2 linked regions of the Lonchura striata genome follow. The protein of the gene in region 1 interacts with the protein of each later gene in a pairwise test. Links are inferred from orthologs where the notes say so. Each region holds a gene or a part of one and is shown on either strand. Other genes may lie near its edges.

Region 1 (10,113 bases):
GGGGTCCCAGGATTTGGGGTCTCCAGGGTTGTGTTTTTGGGGGGGTCCATATGGAAACAGGAATTTATTGAGCCGATACAAAACCCCCGACTCAGCAAACGCCCCCCAAAGTGCCCCAAAATCAACCCCCGGCCCCCCCACCCCCAAAAAGGGGTCCCAGGTGTGTCCGGGGGGTCCCGGGAGCCCGGGCTGAGCCCCCCCAGAATTCCTGACACCAGTGGGGCAGGGAGGGGTCCCAGTGCTCCCAGTACCCCCCAGCCCCCCCAAACTGGTGCCAGGCCCAGCCCCCAGCAAGGCCCAACTGGGAGGCGCCGCCCGGCCCCGGAATGGGGGAAAACTCTGGAGAAACGGGTAAAAATTGTGGGGGGGGGTCGCTAGGAATCGTAATCTTCATCCTCCTCCTCTTCCTCGCGGGCGCGGGGGGGGCCGGGGGCCGGGGGGAGCCCCCCCGGGAGCCCCCCGGGAGGCTGGGGGGCCCAGGGGGCGAAGGGGACCCCGGGGCTGCGGGAAGAGGCGTCAGTGAAGGGGGAAACCCCCCAAAAAACCCCAAATCCCCCAAATCCCCCCCAGAGACACGGGGGGGGCAGCTCCGATCCACCCAAACCCCCCCAGGGACTCAGGGAGGGGGAACACCCCAAAGCCCCCCAAAAAAACCAAAAACGCCCCCAAAAAACCCCTAGAGACACGGGGGGGGCAACCCCGATCCACCCAACCCCCCCCCAGGGACTCAGGGAGGGGAAACCCCAAAACAACCCCAAAAAAACCCCAAATCCCCCCAAACCCCCCCCCAGAGACACGGGGGGGACACCCCCGATCCACCCAAACCCCCCAGGGACTCAGGGAGGGGGGAACACCCCAAAGCCCCCCAAAAAAACCCAAATCCCCCCAAACCCCCCCCAGAGACACGGGGGGGACACCCCCGATCCACCCAAACCCCGCTCCAGGGACTCAGGGAGGGGGGAACACCCCAAAGCCCCCCAAAAAAACCCAAAAACGCCCCCAAAAAAACCCCCAGAGACACGGGGGGGACACCCCCGATCCACCCAACCCCCCCCAGGACTCAGGGAGGGGGGAACACCCCAAAATCCCCCCAAAACAACCCAAAAACGGCCCAGGTGTTGTCGGGACCACCCCAAAAACGCCCCCGGTGCTCTCTGCCCCCCCAGCCCCACCTGGCGAAGGGGAGCGGGGCCGGGGGGGGCTGAGGGGGGGTCTCCTCGTCCCCGTCGCTGTCGCTGTCCTCAGACTCCTCCTGGGGGGACACGGGGGGACAATGAGGGGACCCCAAACCCACCCCGGGGACCCCAAACCCTCCCCGGGGACCCCAAACCTCCCCACGCCCAGGGACCCCCAAAACCCCTCCCCAGAGGGGTCCCGGAAACCCCAAATCCACCCGGGACCCCCCCAAATCCACCCCCCCAGCAGTGACCCCACAACCAGGAACGGCCAATCCCCTTCAGGGGGGACCCCCAAAATCCCCCAGGGTCCCCCCAAAGGAAACTCAAGGGTCCAGGTGTCCCCAAAACCCCCCAAACCCCCCCCCACCTCCAGCTCTGGGTTCGTTCCCAAATGTCCCTTGGCCCCAGGACCCACCAAAACACCCCCGGGACCCCCAAAATCCACCCGGGACCCCCAAAATCCCCCCGGGACCCCCAAAACCCCTCTGGGACCCCCCAAAACCCCCCCACCTCCTGCTCCGAGTCTGTCCCCGACTGTTTTGGGGTCCCCTTGGCCCCGGGACCCCCGTTCTTGCGGCCACTGCCCGGGCGGCGCCCCCTGAAAGAGACCCCCCCCCTAATTAGAGACCCCCCAAAATTAGAGACCCCTGCCCCCAAAACTGCCCCAAATCCCAGCCTGCACCCCAAAATCCCTCCTAACGCCCCCGTCAGGGACCTCAGGTGTGCCAAGGTGCCCCCAGGTACCCCAGGACCCCCCGCCCCAGGTGTCCAGGGGTGTCCCCAAATATCCCCGGGTGGTCCCCAGCTCTGCCACAAGTGTCCCCAAGGGGTCCAGGGGTGTCCCCAGGTGTCCCCCAGGTATCCAGGGGTGTCCCCAAGATATCCAGGGGTGTCCCCCAGGTGTCCAGGGGTGTCCCCGGGGTGTCCAGGGGTGTCCCCAGGTGTCCCCCAGGTATCCAGGGGTGTCCCCAAGGTGTCCAGGGGTGTCCCCAGGTGTCCCCCAGGTGTCCAGGGGTGTCCCCCAGATATCCAGGGGTGTCCCCCAGGTGTCCAGGGGTGTCCCCGGGGTGTCCCCAGGTGTCCCCCAGGTATCCAGGGGTGTCCCCAAGGTGTCCAGGGGTGTCCCCAGGTGTCCCCCAGGTGTCCAGGGGTGTCCCCCAGATATCCAGGGGTGTCCCCAAGGTGTCCAGGGGTGTCCCCAGGTGTCCGCAGGTGTCCCCCAGGTGTCCACAGGTGTCCCCAAGATATCCAGGGGTGTCCCCAGGTGTCCCCAGGTGTCCCCCAGGTATCCAGGGGTGTCCCCAAGATATCCAGGGGTGTCCCCCAGGTGTCCAGAGGTGTCCCCAGGTGTCCCCGAGGTGTCCAGGGGTGTCCCCAGATATCCCTCAGGTTTCCCAGGGCTGTCCCCCAGGTGTCCCCGGGTGCCCCCCAGGTATCGGGGCGTGTCCCAGGTGTGCCCCACCTGCGGGGTCCCCGCTCGCCGTCGCCGTGGGGGTCGTCGCCGTCCCCCTGCATGTCGGGCACGGCGGCCACCAGGTCCTTGAGGAAGTCGAACTGCTGCTCCAGCTCGATGCACTGCTTCCTGTGGGCGGGGCCTCAGACCACGCCCACCCGCCCGACCACGCCCACCCAACCACGCCCACCACACCTGGGACAGACCACACCCACCTGGCCACGCCCATCACACCTGGGACAGGCCACACCCAGCCCCAAAAGGGGCCTCAGGTGTGTCAGGGACCCTTCCCCACCTCCCAGAGGTGTCCCAGGCAGGTGGGGACAGGTGGGACATTGGGGACAGGTGGGGACAGGTGGGACAGGTGGGGACAGGTGAGCCAGGTGGGGACAGGTGGGAGAGGGGGGACATTGGGGACAGGTGGGACGGGGGGACAGGTGTGACACTGGGCACTCACAGGTGGGACACTGGAGACACTGGGGACAGGTGGGATGGGGGGACAGGTGTGACACTGGGCACTCACAGGTGGGACACTGGGGACATTGGGGACAGGTGGGACGGGGGACAGGTGTGACACTGGGCACTCACAGGTGGGACACTGGAGACACTGGGGACAGGTGGGACGGGGGAACAGGTGGGACAGGTGGGACAGGTGGAGACAGGTGGGACGGGGGGACAGGTGTGACACTGGGCACTCACAGGTGGGACAGGTGTGACACTGGGCACTCACAGGTGGGACACTGGGGACATTGGGGACAGGTGGGACGGGGGAACAGGTGTGGCACTGGGCACTCACAGGTGGGACGTCGTCATGGTCTTGGCGTTGCGGGACTGCGTGACGTGGCACGCCTTGCGCAGCAGCGACTCCAGGAACAGCTCCAGCGCCCGCGCTGCCACGCTAAGGACGGCCAGGTACGCAGGTGGCACCCGCGGGTGCAGGTGAACCCTCCCAGCGCCCCCCAGCACGGGCAGCCTCAGCTGGCACAGGTAGGGGCACCTGGGGGGCCGGGCTGTGCAAGGCGGGGGAGCCCAGGTGAGCAGGGTGGGGTCCCTGAGGTGCCCAGGTGAGCAGGGCGGGGTCCCAGAGGTGCCCAGGTACACAGGGTGGGGTCCCTGAGGTGCCCAGGTGAGCAGGGAGGGGTCCCAGAGGTGCCCAGGTGAGCAGGGAGGGGTCCTGGGGCGGGGCCCAGGTGTTCAGGGCGGGGTCCAAGATGTGCCCAGGTGAGCAGGGAGGGGTCTTGGGGCGGGGCCCAGGTGAGCAGGGCAGGGTCTCAGGGTGCCCAGGTGAGCAGGGCAGGGTCCAAGATGTGCCCAGGTGGGGTCCCAGGGTGCCCAGGTGTGCAGGGCGGGGTCCCAGGGTGCCCAGGTGAGCAGGGCGGGGTCCCAGGGCGGGGCCCAGGTGTGCCAGAGGATACAGATGATGACGGGCACGGCGGCCGCCACCTTCCCGATCTCCTCGTCCGTCTGCATGATCTTCTTGATCCGCGCCTGCCACAGAGCCCCGGCTCACCTGAGCCCCGACCTCACCTGCACAGCCGCCCCTCACCTGAGCCCCCCTCACCTGCACAGCCCCCCCTCACCTGAACCCCCTCACCTGAACAGCCCCGCCCTCACCTGAACCCGCCCTCACCTGAGCCCCCATCACCTGAACAGCCCTCCCTCACCTGAACCCCCTCACCTGCAGGACCCCATCCTCACCTGAACCCCCTCACCTGCACAGCCCCCCTCACCTGCACAGCCCCCCCTCACCTGAACCCCCTCACCTGCACAGCCCCCCCTCACCTGCAGGACCCCATCCTCACCTGAACCCGCCCTCACCTGCACAGCCCCCCCTCACCTGCACAGCCCCCCGTCACCTGAACCCCCTCACCTGCAGGACCCCATCCTCACCTGAACCCCCTCACCTGCAGGACCCCATCCTCACCTGAACCCCCTCACCTGCAGGACCCCATCCTCACCTGAGCCCCACCTACCCCAGGCCCCGCCCACCCCAGGCCCCGCCCCTCACGCGCGGCCCCGCCCGCCCAAGCCCCGCCCCCTCCCCGTTCCCACGGCGCCCCCGTGGCCCCGCCCCCGTTGCCATGGCGCCGAGACCCCGCCCGTTGCCGCGGTAACCCCCGCGCCCCCCCCGCCCCCGTTACCATGGTAACCGCCCCCTCCCCGTTGCCATGGCGCCCCCGTCCCCCCTCAGCCGGTACCGGCGGGAAGCGCGCGTTGTATTTCTTCTTTTTGCTCGGCATGGCCGCCTCGCTGGCCCCGGCGGGATCGCGGAGGCTCCGGCCCGGCCCCGCTGCCGCCGCTCCCGGCCCGGCCCCGGCCCCGGCCCCGGCCCCGCTCGGCTCCGCCGCGGCCTCCCCGCCCCGCCCCTTCCGGGACGAGGCCACGCCCCTTCCCGCAAGAAAAGCGCGCCCCGCCCCGCCGGCGGCCGCGCCAGTTTGGCCACGCCCCCTGGAGGCGAAACCACGCCCCCCCGGATGGGAAACCACGCCCCCAGCCGCCATGACCACGCCCCCAGCTGTCAATCAAACCACGCGGGCCTTGGACCGTTTATTGGGGTGACCCCCGGGGGGGGGAGGGGGGAGGGGCGGGGCTTTCCCCTCCCCCCCAGGCACTTCGATGGGGGCGGGGTTAATGCCGGGGGAGGGGCAAAGGGGGCACCCCCCAAAAAGGCACCCAGTGACCCCGGCAAGAGTGTCCCAGTAGCTCCCAGTGACCCCCAGCCGGCACTTGGCGTCCTCCCAGTAACCGCAGAGATTCCCCAGTGACTCCCAGTTGCGTCCCAGTAACCGCAGAGAACTCCCAGTGACTCCCAGTAAGCCCCAGCACCCCCTAGAAACCTCTCCGTGCCCCCCAGTAACCTCCCAGTCACCCCTAACAGCCTCCCAGTGACTCCCAGTAAGCCCTAAAAGCCTCCCAGTAAACACTAGAAACCTCCCAGTAACTCCCAGTCAGCCCTTGCAACCCTCAGATGCCTCCCAGTAAGCCCTAGAAGCATCCCAGTGCCTCCCAGTAACCCCTAGAAGCCTCCCAGTAACCCCTAGAAGCCTCCCAGTAAACCCTAGAAGCCTCCCAGTAACCCCTGGAAGCCTCTCAGTAACCTCTAGAAGCCTCCCAGTGACTCCCAGTAAGCCCTAGAAGCCTCCCAGTGCCTCCCAGTAAGCCCTAGAAGCCTCCCAGTAAACCCTAGAAGCCTCCCAGTGACCCCCAGTAAGCCCTAGAAGCCTCCCAGTAAGTACAAATAAACGCTGGACCCCTCCCAGTAACACCCAGTAAAGCCTCAAGCCCTCCCAGTGGCTCCCAGTCAGGAGGAGGGGAACTGGCTGAGGAAGGTGCTCAAGTCCAGCTCCCCCAGCGAGGGCAGCGACTCCTCGGGCCCCCCCAGCCCCCCCAGCTCGGGACCCCCGGCCAGCTCGGCCCCCAGCCCCATTTCGGGGGGCGCCCCCGGGGGCTGGCTCTGCACCAGGCGGGCGATGGCCTCGGGGTACGACATCAGCATGGGGGGGCCCCCGAAATCCGGGGGGGGTGGGGGCGGCTCGGGAACCCCCGCCCCGAAATCCGGGGAGGGGTCCCCGAAGCTCGGGGGGGCTCGGGGGGGCCCAGCAGGCGCTGGACCTCGCAGGCGTTGAGGGGGTCCAGGGCGGGGAAGGGGGAGTCCCCCCCCCCAGAAGCGCCCCCAAATCCAGCGGGGGGGCCGTGCCGCCCCCCCCGAGCTGGGGGGACCCCTCCTCAAATTGCAGCTGCAGCAGCGCCTCGGCCAAAGGCTCCGGCTCGGGGGGGGCTGGGCCCCCCAGGAGCCCCCCGGGACCCCCGAAGGAGAAGGAGGGAGCTGGGGGGAGGGGAAGGGGTGAGGGAGGGGCTCGACCCCCCCCAGTTCCCGCCATCTTCCCCCCAAAATTGCCCCCGGCCCCATTCACTCCCCTCCCCCACTTCCCCCTCCCCAATTCCCTCCTTGCCCCCCACCCTCCCCAATTCCCCCCCAATGTTTTCCCCTTTTGCCCCCACCCCAGTTCCTCCCAGTTCCATCCCAGTCCCACCCAATCCCTCCCAGTTCCATCCCAGTCCCTCCCAGTTCCATCCCAGTCCCTCCCAGTGCCCCAGTCCCCCTCACCTGCACTGGGGGGGTTCTGGGGGGCCGGGGGGGGTCTCGAGGGCACCGCCAGGCGCCGGGGGGGCCGCGACTCGCCGGACGCCGGAGCTGGGGGGGGGAAATGGGGGTCCCACTGTCAGGGACCCCCCGCCAGGGACCCCAAATCCCCCCTGGACCCTTCCCCAGGACCCCAAATGATCCCCCCAGGACCCCAAATCCCCCCCAACATCCCCACGGGACCCCCATTTCCCCCTCGAGACCCCCCCAGGACCCCAAAACCTCCTCAGAGACCACCCCCAAGGACCCCAAATCCCCCAGGGTCCCCAAATCCCCCAAGGCCCCCCCAAGATCTCCAGTTCCTCCTCTACACCCCCCCGGAGACCCCAAGCCTCCCCCCAGGGTTCCCCAAATCTCCCCCCAGACTCCCCCAGGGGCCCCAAACCCCCCCAGATTCCCCCCAAGGACCCCCAATTTCCCCTTTAGACCCCCCAGGGACCCCAACAATCCCCCCAAAGCCCCCCGAAGCCCCCCAAGCCCCACCAGGCAGGGGGCTGCGCTGGATGAAGGAGCGGAAGGTTTCCCGCGTCCGCTTGCGCTTCTCCTCGATGCACTGCAGGTCCCCTGCACCAGTGACACCAGTGACACCAGTGACACCAGGGAGCTCCCAGTGAGCTCCCAGTTACACCAGTGACCCCCCAGTGACTTCCTTGTCACCTTCCAGTTAATCCCAGTCACTCAGAGTCACCTCCCAGTGACCCCCAGTCCCCTCCCAGTCACATCAGTGACCTCAGGAGACCCCACAGCGTCCCAGGGTGACAAGAAGGAACCAAAAAGAACCAGAACGGGACCTCGGAGTGACCCAAAAGGGACCCTGGATCACCCCCAGCCCCCCAAAAAGACCCCGCAGCACCCCATAGACCCCCCCCAGGGTCACCCTGTTGGGGCAGGAATAGAAATCAATGGGATTCAGGGATCTGAGAATGCCCCAAAGGGACCCCAGCCCCCCAAAACCACCCCGCAGCCCCCCGAAGCCCACCCTGGTGGGGCAGGCAGTGGAACTCCACCGGGGTGCTGCAGCTCCAGGGATCCGGGAATGTCCCAAAGGGACCCAGGAGTGCCCCAGAGGAACCCTGGATCACCCCCAGCCCCCCAAAACCACCCCGCAGCCCCTCGAAGCCCACCCTGGTGGGGCAGGAACAGGAAATCAATGGGAACTGAAGCTCCAGGGACCCCAGATCACCCCCAGCCCCCCAAAACCACCCCGCAGCCCCCCGAAGCCCACCCTGGTGGGGCAGGAACAGGAAATCAATGGGAACTGAAGCTCCAGGGACCCCAGATCACCCCCAGCCCCCCAAAACCACCCCGCAGCCCCCCGAAGCCCACCCTGGTGGGGGCAGGAACAGGAAATCAATGGGAACTGAAGCTCCAGGGACCCCAGATCACCCCCAGCCCCCCAAAACCACCCCGCAGCCCCCCGAAGCCCACCCTGGTGGGGCAGGAACAGGAAATCAATGGGAACTGAAGCTCCAGGGACCCCAGATCACCCCCAGCCCCCCAAAACCACCCCGCAGCCCCCCGAAGCCCACCCTGGTGGGGCAGGTAGCGGAAGTCGAGCGGCGCGCTGCGCTGCCGGTCCGAGGGCCGCTGCAGCTCCATGCGCACGGTGACGGGCGCGCGCAGCGCGGGGTCCCGGAACGGCGGCGTGCGGAACACGATGGCGACCTGGCGGTGAACGTCGGCCTGCGCGAAGGAGCCCTTGGCCTCCCAGCCCTCGGCCGAGAAACGCACCTCGATGTCCTCTGCGGGCACGGGGACACAGTGGGGACACGCGGGGGACACGGACACGGGGACATGGGCATGGACATGGGGACAGAGACACGGGGACGCTGCAGGGACAGGGACACGGGGACAGGGATGGGGACATGGACACAGGAACATGGGCATGGACATGGACATGGGGATGGGGACATGCTGGGGACACCCCGGGGACACCACAGGGACACGGGGACACGGACATGGGGACAGGGACATGGGGGCAGAGACACAGGGATGGGGACAGGGACACGGACACGGGGACAGGGACAGGGACACGGGGACAGGGACAGGTGACAGCGACAGGAACAAAGCCGGGGGACACAGACACCGATATCGCCCTGTTTGGGACATCCCAGCTTTGGGGTGTCCCAGGTTTTGGGGTGTCCCAGGTTTTGGGGTGTCCGAGGTTTGGGGTGTCCCAGCTTTGGGGTGTCCCGGGTTTGGGGTGTCCCGTTTTTCGGCTGTCCCATTTTTGGGGTGCCCCATTTTTGGGGTGCCCCGTTTCGGGCTGTCCCCGTTTTCAGGGTGCCCCGTTTTCAGGGTGCCCCGTTTTTGGGGTGCCCCGTTTCGGGCTGTCCCCATCCCGGGGTGCCCCCTGACCTTTCTGGACCTTGTCACACAGCAGGAAGATCTCGTCCCCGCCCCGGCAGCTCCCGGAGTTGCGGTTCACGCGGCAGATCCGGAGCTCGGCCGTGCTGGGGGCACCTGGGGACAGCGCGGGGCCGCCGTGGGTCCCGGGCCACCCTCGGGTGTCCCCAGGTGTCCCTTGGGTGTCCCAGGGACGTCCCAGGGATGTCCCACATGGGTCTCAGGGATGTCCCCCAGGTGTCCCCAGTGTCCCCAGCTGTCCCCTGGTGTCCCTCAGCTGTCCCCAATGTCCCCCAGGTGTCCCCAATGTCCCCCCGGTGTCCCAGGTGTCACTCAGGTGTCCCCAGGTGTCCCAGGTGTCCCCAGCTGTCCCCGTGTCCCCGTGTCCCACTCACGGTTGTCGTAGATGGGCTGGGACAGGACGGGGGGGAGGGGCTGCAGCCCCCCCGGGCCCCTCACCCACACCTGGAAGCAGAGCCGGACCGCGGCCAGGTCGTACTCGCCCCCGCGCTGCTCCGCCGGCACTGCCCGGTGCAGACCAGTGAGAACCGGTATAAACCAGTACAGACCAGTATAAACCAGTACAGACCAGTACAGACCAGTGTAAACCAGTATAGACCAGTATATACCAGTACAAACCACTAACATACCCAGGTACCCCCAGTGACACCCCCAGGTCATACTCGCCCCTGCGCTGCTCCCCTGGCACTGCCCAGTACAGACCAGTACAGACCAGTGACGCCCCCAGCACTGTCCTCAGTGACCTCCCAGTAATACCCAATCACTCCCAGTTCCCTCCCAGTAACTCCCAGTCCCTCCCAGTTCCCTCCCAGTCCCTCCCAGTTCCCTCCCAGTTGCTCCCAGTTCCCTCCCAGTCCCTCCCAGTCACTCCCAGTTCCCTCCCAATCGCTCCCAGTTCCCTCCCAGTCCTTCCCAGTTCCCCCCCAGTTCCCTCCCAGTCCCTCCCAGTCCCTCCCAGTCACTCCCAGTTC
Region 2 (10,362 bases), on another chromosome or scaffold:
TAAAAAAAAAAAAAATCTGGCTTTTATTTAGATCTCATTCCCTTCTGGAATATACACCCCAGATATGTGCTGAAGAGAAAGGAAAAAAAAAAAAAAAGAGAGGAAAAGAGCTGGAAGGTGGGGAACACATCATCAGCTCAGGCTTTCCACAGCCTGACTGAATGCCAGCAGAAACTAGACAGCAGAAAATCTGTGTTGGTTCAGTTCTTTTCAGAGGCTGGGCTTGTGTGCGTGTGAAAATGCAGCGTGCCAGGACAGCAGGAAGGCAGGGTGGTTCTTGTGGGTAGCTGCCACCATTTTGTTGGTGGAAAGGATCCAGGATTCCTCACAAGTGCCATTTTAAAACTGCACATCATCAAAACCTGGGGGTTTTAAATGTATCCAAAACTTTCTGGGGGAGAAAGGCATCAGAACTAAGAGATCAAGTAGAAAAGCACAAACCTACACTCACACAAGGGATACCAAAAGCTTCTCTCAAGCCTTCCTTCTTGCAGGAGCCTTTTGTGAAACCACATGGGCCCCCTGGGTGGGCACACCCTGCCCCTGCTGCCCTCCCAGAGGCATCCGTGTCCCTGGAATGACCAGCAAAGGCTACAGAGGGACCGTGGGTGGAATTAGCTCATCCCAGCTGGGAAGAGTGGAAAAGACAACCACCACAATTCACCATTCTGCTCTAGCACATCTCAGCTTGCTGCAGGAGCTGCTGCTGCAGGGGGGCAGGCGAGACCCCAGTGCCACCACTGACCTGTCCCACCCCCAGCACTGCACAAAGCCATCTGTTTTCAGCCTTGCTCCCCATTTTACCCCCCACCTTGTGCTTCAGATTTTAAGTCAATCTCGTCCTTGTCTCTCAGGGCTCTCAAAGACACTTTCAGTGTACCGTTTACCCCGAGATCACTGTGTGTTTTTCGGATTTGGGTTAGTTTGGGTGAGTCAGTGAGTGAACTCGTCACTGTACAGCCACCCTGTGCTGCTGCTGAGGCTGGAGGACACAGTGTCACTGTCACAGTACAGCAGGGAGAGAAGGCACAGCCAGGATGCAAGGAAACAAAGGGAAAAAAACAACTCAATTGGATCAAAAGCTTCAGTGTGCAGCTTCCAAGCCTCTGGACATCATCACCTACATTCTACACCCCAGAAGTGATCTCTGAATGATCTACTGCATTCAGCCCCTCAAAATCAGGAGTCTTTCTCCTGGCCAGTTTCTGCACTGAGCACCCACCAGTTCTTTTTTCCTCTCTTTCAGAGCCAGCCCAGCATCAAAAGCCCCGGAAGTGCCTGCCCAGAGCCTGGGGAGGGCCAAAGGCCCCCAGGCACAGGGAGGAGCCACCCTGCCACGGAAAAAGCTTCAGCACGAGTCCTTTACAAAGTACAGGCCACAGAGGGGCAGTACAAAGCTCTAATGGATACACGAGGGGATGCAGCACGGTCGATTTACAGCGTTTACATCCCTCTGAGCACACCCCAGCCCTTGCCCACGAGCGAGCTCAGTTATCCACCTCTTCCTCATCGTTTTGTTCTTCCTCCTCCATCCTTTCATCATCCTCATCATTGTCCTCCTCTCGGCTCTTATCTTGTTCCTCCGAGTCTGCCTTCTTGTCTTTATCTTTCCTGGCCTCCTTCTTTCCTTTCTGCTCACGCCTGTAAACTGGAGGAGAGGGAACAGTGAGGGCTTGGCGCTGGCATGGACAGGTCAGTGGCTGAGGCCCAACGTCCACTTGCTCTCCTGGCTTTGAGGGGAGCAGGGAACTCAGAGCACAACTCACCCTACGAGCTGAGCTGTGCTGAGCAGCTCCATAGGAAATCAGGTTAAATTTCAGCAGAAAAATGCTGAAAAGGACGCAGGTCACATTTACAGGCAGCACCTACGGCTTTCCTTAGATAAACATAATAGGGGAGTGAGAGCAGATGAGACTTTCTCAATCCTCATCAGTTGTGCAAGAATGTTATCCCAGTCCTGTTAAGGTGCACATTAGTTACTCCCCAGGCAAACTGCAAGGTAGGATGCTGGGCAAAGAGAAGAGAAACAAGACAGGCAATAAGTGTTGCTTGTCCAGCGTTGGAGGAGAACAGGACTTGGTGCCTCTCAGAGTCCCTGGACACCCACGGAGCACAGTACCTTCCAGGGATTCCTTCAGAGGGGCCACGAATCTCTGGAACTCCATCTCCTCCATGGCAGAAAGCACGTCCCCAGCATTCAGGGTTTTCCTCTTCCCCTTCATGGCAAAGTTATTTGCACTAGGCAGAACCAAAAAGAGAGGTAATTGAGGACTGTTGGCAATTTCATCTTGTTTACTGAAGTCATAAGCAACTTTAAAAAGCCATCCCCTAAACATTTAGGTTTCTTTACCATTTACTAAAGGAGGCTTGAGACATTTTTATTTACAATGTCTGTGCTTTCCCACAGGGTTAGTTTCTGCCTGCACAGACCTTTTCTACAAGCAGGAGGAGAAAGCCTGAGCCTTGGCTGTGACAGTTCCACAGAGCCCTAGAAGGGCTAGGGTTCCATAGAAGCCCCTGACACTAGAGGAGTGACTGCCTGCAGAGAATACGCCAAGCCACCCCAAAAACGTGACTGTGTCCTCTGTGGCAGCTCTTGCCCCAACACAGCTTCATGATGAAGAGCCTGAAAATGAGTCAAGCGCTCTGCCTTTGCCAGGAAGGCTGTGCAGCCACGTTCTAAGGTTAATGGCAATTTGGGACCCCTCTTTTTGGGGACCCCCCTTTTTTGGGACATGGCTGTGTCCAGAGCCCAGCTACCTTCCCAAGGGCTGCTCTGGGCAGTCCAAACCCACCTGCTGCAGACTAGTTTATTTATATAAACAGGCAAAACAGAAAACCAACACTGGGAGAGAGTCCCCAGGCCAGCAGAAATGAATTATCAATCAAGTGCCCCAGTGACTGCTGCACCAAGTCCTTACCATGATGTTGCATACAGCACAAACACACTTGCTGCTCGGGAGATCGCGCTCCGGGCTTCTTTGGAAATATTGACTCCCTCAGGAAGCTGAAAAACAAATCCAACTTTTATCAGCAGCTGCTAAAAACGACTTAAACTCCATAATTGAAGTGTCAGTTTGTTAAAACACTCAGAGGGCTCAGAAGAACTGGGAACTGCTCTGGGGTGCTGTCGCAGGAGCTCTGCTTCCAGCTGGAAGCCAAGGGCAGTAGGAATGTGTCCCTCGAAGGCACAGAGCTGAGCACAAGCCCAATGACTCCGGCGTTTGGGGTCTGGCCACTGTCTCAGGTAACTCATCCTGTGCCTGCCCAGCTCCAGACACGCCCGCCAGGCCCAGATCCACTCGGCAACCCTCACAGCTCCAGAGCAAACGCGCTCAATCAACCCCAGCGAATTATTCTGGATTTTTATATAGACATGGACTCGTGTGCTGAAGTTTCAGGGGGCCTGGTTCTCACAGTGCCACTGCGGGAACTGCGCTGCTGCCGAGCTGCAGCGGTGCAGCCGCGTGGCTCGGGACGCTGCAGCGGTGCAGCTGCATGGCTCGGGAGCTGCAGCGAGCGCTGCAGCCCCGGTACCCGAGCGGGACAGCGCAGGGCAGAGCCCGCGGGCCGGGGCCCCGCGGGGCCCGGCACCCACCGCCTCCTTGATGATGCGGGTGATGACGGCGTTGGGCAGGTTCAGGTCCTCCGGTCTCTCCGCCATCCTGGGCCTCCTGCAAGGCAAACGCGGCGTCAGGGGCGCGGGGCTGGGCGGGATCCCGCGGGACGGGGGATCCCTCAGCACACGGACCCCTCACGGCCCCTCAGCACACGGGCCCCTCACGGCCCCTCAGCACACGGATCCCTCACGACTCCTCACGGCCCCTCAGCACACGGACCCCTCACGGCCCCTCTCGGCCCCTCAGCACACGGATCCCTCACGACTCCTCACGGCCCCTCAGCACACGGACCCCTCACGACCCCTCAGCACACGGACCCCTCACGGCCCCTCTCGGCCCCTCAGCACACGGACCCCTCACGGTCCCCCTCGGCCCCTCTCGGCCCCTCTCGGCCCCTCAGCACACGGGCCCCCTCGGCCCCTCAGCCGCCCGGCCCGCCCGTACCCAGCCGCGCTCGCCGCCCCGCCCGCTCCCGGCGCGCACCGCGGCGGGAAATGGCGGCGCGGCCTGAGGGACGGCGGGGACAGGCAAGGGACAGCGAGAAGAGGCAGGCGTAGGAACGGGAAAAGGGCAGGCGTGGCTGTAGGTGTATGTATGCATGCATAGGTGTAGGTGCAAGTGTAGGGACAAGTGCAGGTGATGGGACGGGGACAGATGTAGGTGAAGGGACTGGGATGGGTTTGGGTGTAGGTGAGGGGATGGGATCAGGTGTAGGTGATAATGTGAGGACAGGTTCAGGTGTAGGTGAAGGGAGAGGTGTAGCTGAAGGGACTGGGATGGGTTCGGGTGTAGGTGAGGGGATGGGTTCAGGTATAGATGAAGATTCAGGTGAAGGCACAGGGACAGGTGCAGGGGATGGTGCACGGACGGATTCATCTGTGGGTGAAGGGACAGGTTCATTGGTAAGTGGTGGGACAGGTTCAGGTGCAGGGGATGTTTCAGGGACAGGTTCAGGTGCAGGGGATGATGCAGGGACAGGTTCAGGTGCAGTGATGGGACAAGTTCAGGTGCAGGGGATGGTGCAGGGACAGGTTCATATGTGGGTGATGGGACAGGTTCAGGTGATGGGACAGGTTCAGGTGCAGGGCATGATTCAGGGACAGATTCACGTGCAGGGGACGGTGCAGGTACAAGTTCAGCTGTAGGTGAAGGTTCAGGTGAATGCACAGGGACAGGTTCACCTGTAGGTCCAGGTGGTCACACTGCCGTTACTGGGGGCTGCGAGCAGGGCCAGGCACAGGGGGAGCTGGGGCAGCCCTGGGGCAGAGCTGCTGCCTCTGGGAATGTTCCCAAGATCCCCCAAAGCCCTTGGGATCAGTAAGGCTCCCTCTAAGGCAGTGTGACACTCTTAGCGAGTCAGGCATTTCTGTATCCTTAGCCAAGAATGTGTGTAGCTGACAAAGCTCCAGCATCTGCACTAACACAGATACAAAACTTTTTCACTTATTTGTACATTTTTAGCAAACCAATTCATGTTCATTTGCTCTAGGTTACATAATTCTCTTTATTACTTAGTGTTCTATCTGCTCTTGGTTGTTAATTTCTCACTCTTCACACTAATCTGGTCCACATACTTTATTACTTTTATAATCTTTTTCCCAGTCAGGGAATCTCCAACTTTCCATGCCTTAATCTCCTCTGCATTTTTTGCTTACTCCAACACACTTGAAGGGTCATAAATTTAAGATCCCAGATGTCCAATCTCCAACTCCCTTTGGCTTTGTTTATTGAAGCTTGGCTGAGTTACTTGTAGCAAATCTGAGGTTTTGGTTATTTAGTGATCAAAGTAATTGTAAGAGCCTGTGAAGAAAGTTAACTAGTGCTATCTGAATGTGGGCACTGGTTGCAATTAATTAAAACAATTAAGAGAGTTACATAATTTCCAACAGGAAATAACAGCTGTTTTCCCCACACTGGGTTCTGGCCTCTTCCCTTGTGGCTGTGTGAGGGCACAGGGCTGTGAGCTTCTCCATCCCTGCCCCACTGGCTCCATGCCTGGCCTAAACCCTGTAATTCCATGAGACTTTATCCCTGTTGGTAACCTGACCAGGTAATTAAGCAAGCTCAGAGTGCAAGAAAGCACATTAATTAGGTGCTGTGGTGATATTTGAAATTGTGAGCAGTGATTGACAGTGCGGCTCTTTTCCATGGAAAATGGGAATTTCCTGTTACCAAGGGCAGTGTTTCTGTTGTGGGGAGAGTGGGCAGAGATTTGTGAGCACAGGTGAAGGTAACTGTGCTGTGCTGGGAGAAGCACACCCTGAGTACACCTGGGCCAGGCCCGTGTGAGCCCCTGTTCCAGTTCCAGGGACTGGATTAATAAACTCCGTCCCTGCTGTACAAATCATGTGTAAGTTTTGGTTTTAGCTCCTTTCCATGTGCTCTGTTGTTAACCCTGGCTGCTGGGTGTTCCTGGGCAGGTGTGGCAGTGCTGCCATTGGGAGGGGGCATTCACACATGGCAGGCTAGCTGCTGTGACAGTGACCATGACAGGTTGAGCTGCTGTGACAGTGACCATGACAGGTTGAACTGCTGTGACAGTGACCATGACAGGTTGAGCTGCTGTGACAGTGACCATGACAGGCTGAGCTGCTGTGACAGTGACCATGATAGACTCGGATCCTGGACAGGGGGGTGGCTCAGAGCTCTTGGAGCCCTTGGGAGCCCCTGCTGCTCATTTTGGCTTCTGTGTTATAGAGCATGAGGTGTTCTTGTCCATGAATTGAGAACCAAGCAAGTTGGTGGTGTGATACTGCCTGGAGAAGGGGTGGGATGGAGCAGAGCCAGGAATGGGGCTGCCCAAATCCAGGGATATGGCCCAAAGCTGCCCCATTCAGCAGCAAAGCCTGGGCTGGGACCATCCAGCTCTGTGTGTCTTCTGGACACAACAGGCTCTCCTCCCTGGTCCCTGGTGTGAGTCTATGTTTGTTTTTAATTACAATGTCTGGAGATTGGTACATTGAGTCCCAGGAAGGGACATTAAAGCCCATTCCATGGACAGGGACACCTTCCACTGTCCCAGGTTGCTCCAAGCCCTGTCCAGCCTGGCCTTGGACACTTCCAGGGATCCAGGGGCAGCTATCCTGGCCTTATATCCTGTAAATCCAGAGCCTTTATTTTAAATCAGCTTCCTAGTCTTGTTTCGCTGTCGTGTGTAAAACATGGAAGATGTTGAGCATGCAGTGCTCAAGTTTACTGCTGCGAGTCACATTTTACACTGCAACAAAAATATTGTTCCATGTACACAGGTATAAATACAGTGACAGAGGAGCAGCAGCTCAGCTCAGCCTGAGAGGGAAAGAAAAACCATAGGACAATATGGTCCTTCTGTACTTCAGGGAAAGGCTATAACAGATTTAGATTTAAATGCTTTAAATTAGATACTAAGAAAGCACCCTGGCAGGGTGGGCAGGCCCTGGCACAGGGTGCCCAGAGCAGCTGTGGCTGCCCCTGGATCCCTGGCAGTGCCCAAGGCCAGGCTGGACAGGGCTGGGAGCAGCCTGGGACAGTGGGAGGTGTCCCTGCCATGGCAGGGATGGAATGAAAGGATCTTTAAGGTCCCTTCCACATTCTGTGATTGTTTGATGACTCTGTACTGATAGTCAGGAGATGAACACTGTGATTTTTATGCCTGCAGTGAGGGTGGGCACTCCTTTAGCCTGCTTGTTTTTCACAACATTGCACAAAAATGTGACATTTAAGGTTTATCTGCAGGCACAGAGCTTACCCAGCAATGTTTGTACTCCTCAGAACCCACTGTTAGTACAGAGGGGCTTGAATCTCACTTGACTTCTGTGAAAATGACACTTCAGCATCATCATGGCCAAAGAAAAAAATATTAATACAAAAAATACAGATTATTCCAATGTAGAACAGTCACTGTGGAACGCCTATATTTTTTCCAGCACTCTTGAAGCCCTGTTTGGATGGGTGCCATCCAAGTCCTGTAAATAAGAGGCTGTTGTTGCAGTAACAGCTCCTGTAGAATCAGGGATGAGGTGTGCCAGGACGTGGTGCACAGGGGAGTTCTGAACAGCAAACCCTTCCCTCTGGGCACTCCCTGGCTCTGCTCTGAATGTTGTGGGGTTGCAGGATTAACTGTGAGGTCTTGAGCCTGAGAAGCGTTCAGTGCGTTCCTATCCCCGTGAGTCACTTCACACCTCTCCCCCTCCTAGTGCTGAACGGATCCACCCGGCTCTGGGTGACTCAGGGGACAGGGCAGCGCTCAGGGGACTCAAAACAAACAGCAAGAGACCCAGTGGTCACAAGGCAGGAGGCGAGGACACAGGAACACATCCCAGACTGGTGCTGGATGAGACACAGGGACACATCCCAAACTGTTTTGGATGAGGGATGAGACACAGGGACACATCCCAAACTGGTGTTGGATGAGGGATGAGACACAGGGACACATCCCAAACTGGTGTTGGATGAAGGCAGGAACACATCTCAAACTGGTGTTGGATGAAGACAGAGACACATCCCAAACTGTTGTTGGATGGTTTGCACTTACCAATTTAAATTTCCTTGAGAGACTGTCCACGATTGCTCTGTTTTTTAAAGTTTTTTTTCCTTTTGGCCATGGAAGAAGAATGAATGTGAAAGACTCAACAGCATCCTTTTTAAAAATAAGCTTCACTTGGTCATTTTAATCTCTAAATTTTTAAGGGCATCAGGCCTCTAACTGAGAGCTGGTGCCTGGAATGATTCCATTTTTCCTCCCCCTAAAGACAGGCCAGGCACTGCAGGCAGGAGCCTGGTCCCCAGAGGATGGAGCTGTCCCTTGGAGGTGTCACTCACACACTTCTCTTCCTACCTCAGGCCCTCTAAGTTTAGCTCACCTCTGATGGAGGCCTCCGAGGCAGCACTTTCAAAATATCTTCCTGGCATTCTTTTTTTAGCCATAAACGAATTCAGCAGTTTTAACTGTCAAAAAAGCGCCAGCCTAAAATTCTGCTGATTGAGTGGACTTTCCTATGTGACCTAAGACAGAGACTTGGACAAATCCTGTGTACCAGGTCAGGAGCTATTTTCAGCCACATGGACGGACTATTGCATTAACTGTAACTTTGTTATTCCCTTTGGAAAGTGCTTTGGGAAGGAAAGCTGTAGGGTAACCTCTGTGTCACCTCTCCTGGTGTTCATTCAGGTTTGTGGCACCATGAATCTTGCTCCTGTTTTTGCCGTGCTCCAGCCAGAGCTGAGCTCTGCAGCAGGGTCAGACATCCCCTCACCTGGACAGATGGCCCTGGTGCTCTGGAATAACATGGGGAGAGTGAGTGGTCTCAGCTCCCAGGGAAGGGAATGCCTTCCTGATCATGGCTAATGGGATCCTGCTTAAACAATATGGGCAATAATCAAGCTGTGCTCAGCTAATTGATCCAGAACACCAATTAATCCACAGAGGTGGCTTAAAGGTGCCCCAGTAAGGCTGGGCTAATGGTGTGCCACTACACAAATGAGATCCAACTCCTCCTATGTCTACCAAATGTACATTAAAGTTGACTCTGCAGCAATAGAAAGTCCTTGAATTGAAAATGTTTGGGGCTGGGCAGCTATTGTAAATGCAGGCAAACCCAATGGGAAGAAGTGACGATGTCTGACTCAATTCAGAAGGCTGAATGATTTCTTTATTATAACTGTGCTAAAATACATTAATATGCTATATAAAAGGAGGGTACTAAAGCTACATACTACTTTCTCTGACTCTAACACAACTCGTGACCCTCTCTGAGAGCCCAGCCCCAGCTGGGTTGGATTTGTCATCAGGTTCAAACAATCCTCACCAGAATCCAACCAAGCAACCACCCCAGGTAAACAATTCTCCAAACACATTCCACATAGGAAAAACAAGGAGCAGAAACAGAAATTGTTTTCTCTTTCATTTCTCTCTGTGCTCCTCTATGAAAAATCCTGAGAGGGAGAGAAATGTGCTGGCCACAGGCAGCTATTTTGGAAAATGTCTCATGCCTGCTCTGTTGTTGTGTTCTCCCCTGGGCATCACCTTCTGACATGGAACAGGAGCTTTGTCTGACCCAATGGATCTGCTTTTATTTTCTTCAATGTTCCTGAATATACTTTCTCCTTAAATATTCTTGTAAATATTCCTCACTGAGAAGGCGGTGATCACTGGCAAAAGATCCCTGGGGAAGTGGTCATGGCAGCAAAATTGCCAGAGCTCCAAAAACATCTGGAGTGTGTGGTTAGTCACAGGATTTAATTCTAGTCCTGCAAGGGAGTGGGGCTTGATGATCCTTCTGGGTCCCTTCTAGCTGGAGAGACCCTGTGTGCCTGTTCCCATGCTTGGGCTAAAGTGGGGAGTCAGATCAGAGCTCTGGGGGGAGAAAGGAGGCAGCTGCCCTTGGAGCAGCAGCTTCACTCTAAGACCAGCTTAATTTAACATAAAAATGTCAGAGAACCTTGGTTTACTCTGTCCAGCCTGGGAATGGGGCCTTGCCAGATGACAAAGGAGATCTCTGTCAAGATAAAAGCCAACTTGCCCCTTTCTGTTGTGCCCCAGGAAAAAGGACAATGGCTTTAAACCAAAGGAGGATACATTTAGTTTGATACTGGGCAGGAATTGTTCCCTGTGAGGGGGAGGCCCTGGCACAGGTGCCCAGAGCAGCTGTGGCTGCCCCTGGATCCCTGGCAGTGCCCAAGGCCAGGCTGGACAGGGCTGGAGCAGCCTGGGACAGTGGGAAGTGTCCCTGCCATGGCAGGGGTGGGATGGGATGAGGTCTCT

The links.
Region 2: the proteins of DRAP1 (region 1) and POLE3 interact in binary tests that used the Homo sapiens proteins (3 or more experiments, as listed by UniProt). The two-hybrid records come from large-scale screens. The link is inferred for Lonchura striata from reciprocal best matches to the Homo sapiens genes DRAP1 and POLE3.

What each region holds. Positions count from the first base shown.
Region 1 is NC_134638.1:273,552-283,664, forward strand, and holds DRAP1 (dr1-associated corepressor), read right to left. Parts: upstream 4,950-10,113; 5' UTR 4,872-4,949; coding exon 4,830-4,871; intron 4,120-4,829; coding exon 4,047-4,119; intron 3,522-4,046; coding exon 3,428-3,521; intron 2,761-3,427; coding exon 2,641-2,760; intron 1,777-2,640; coding exon 1,689-1,776; intron 1,253-1,688; coding exon 1,173-1,252; intron 502-1,172; coding exon 375-501; 3' UTR 50-374; downstream 1-49. UniProt on the Homo sapiens protein: The association of the DR1/DRAP1 heterodimer with TBP results in a functional repression of both activated and basal transcription of class II genes.
Region 2 is NC_134624.1:4,747,320-4,757,681, forward strand, and holds POLE3 (DNA polymerase epsilon subunit 3), read right to left. Parts: upstream 4,107-10,362; 5' UTR 4,065-4,106; intron 3,863-4,064; exon of another isoform or gene 3,840-3,862; intron 3,675-3,839; 5' UTR 3,665-3,674; coding exon 3,599-3,664; intron 3,008-3,598; coding exon 2,922-3,007; intron 2,239-2,921; coding exon 2,120-2,238; intron 1,649-2,119; coding exon 1,488-1,648; 3' UTR 1,386-1,487; downstream 1-1,385. Other genes in the region: regulator of G-protein signaling 3-like, read left to right, coding at 8,782-8,895. UniProt on the Homo sapiens protein: Accessory component of the DNA polymerase epsilon complex. Participates in DNA repair and in chromosomal DNA replication.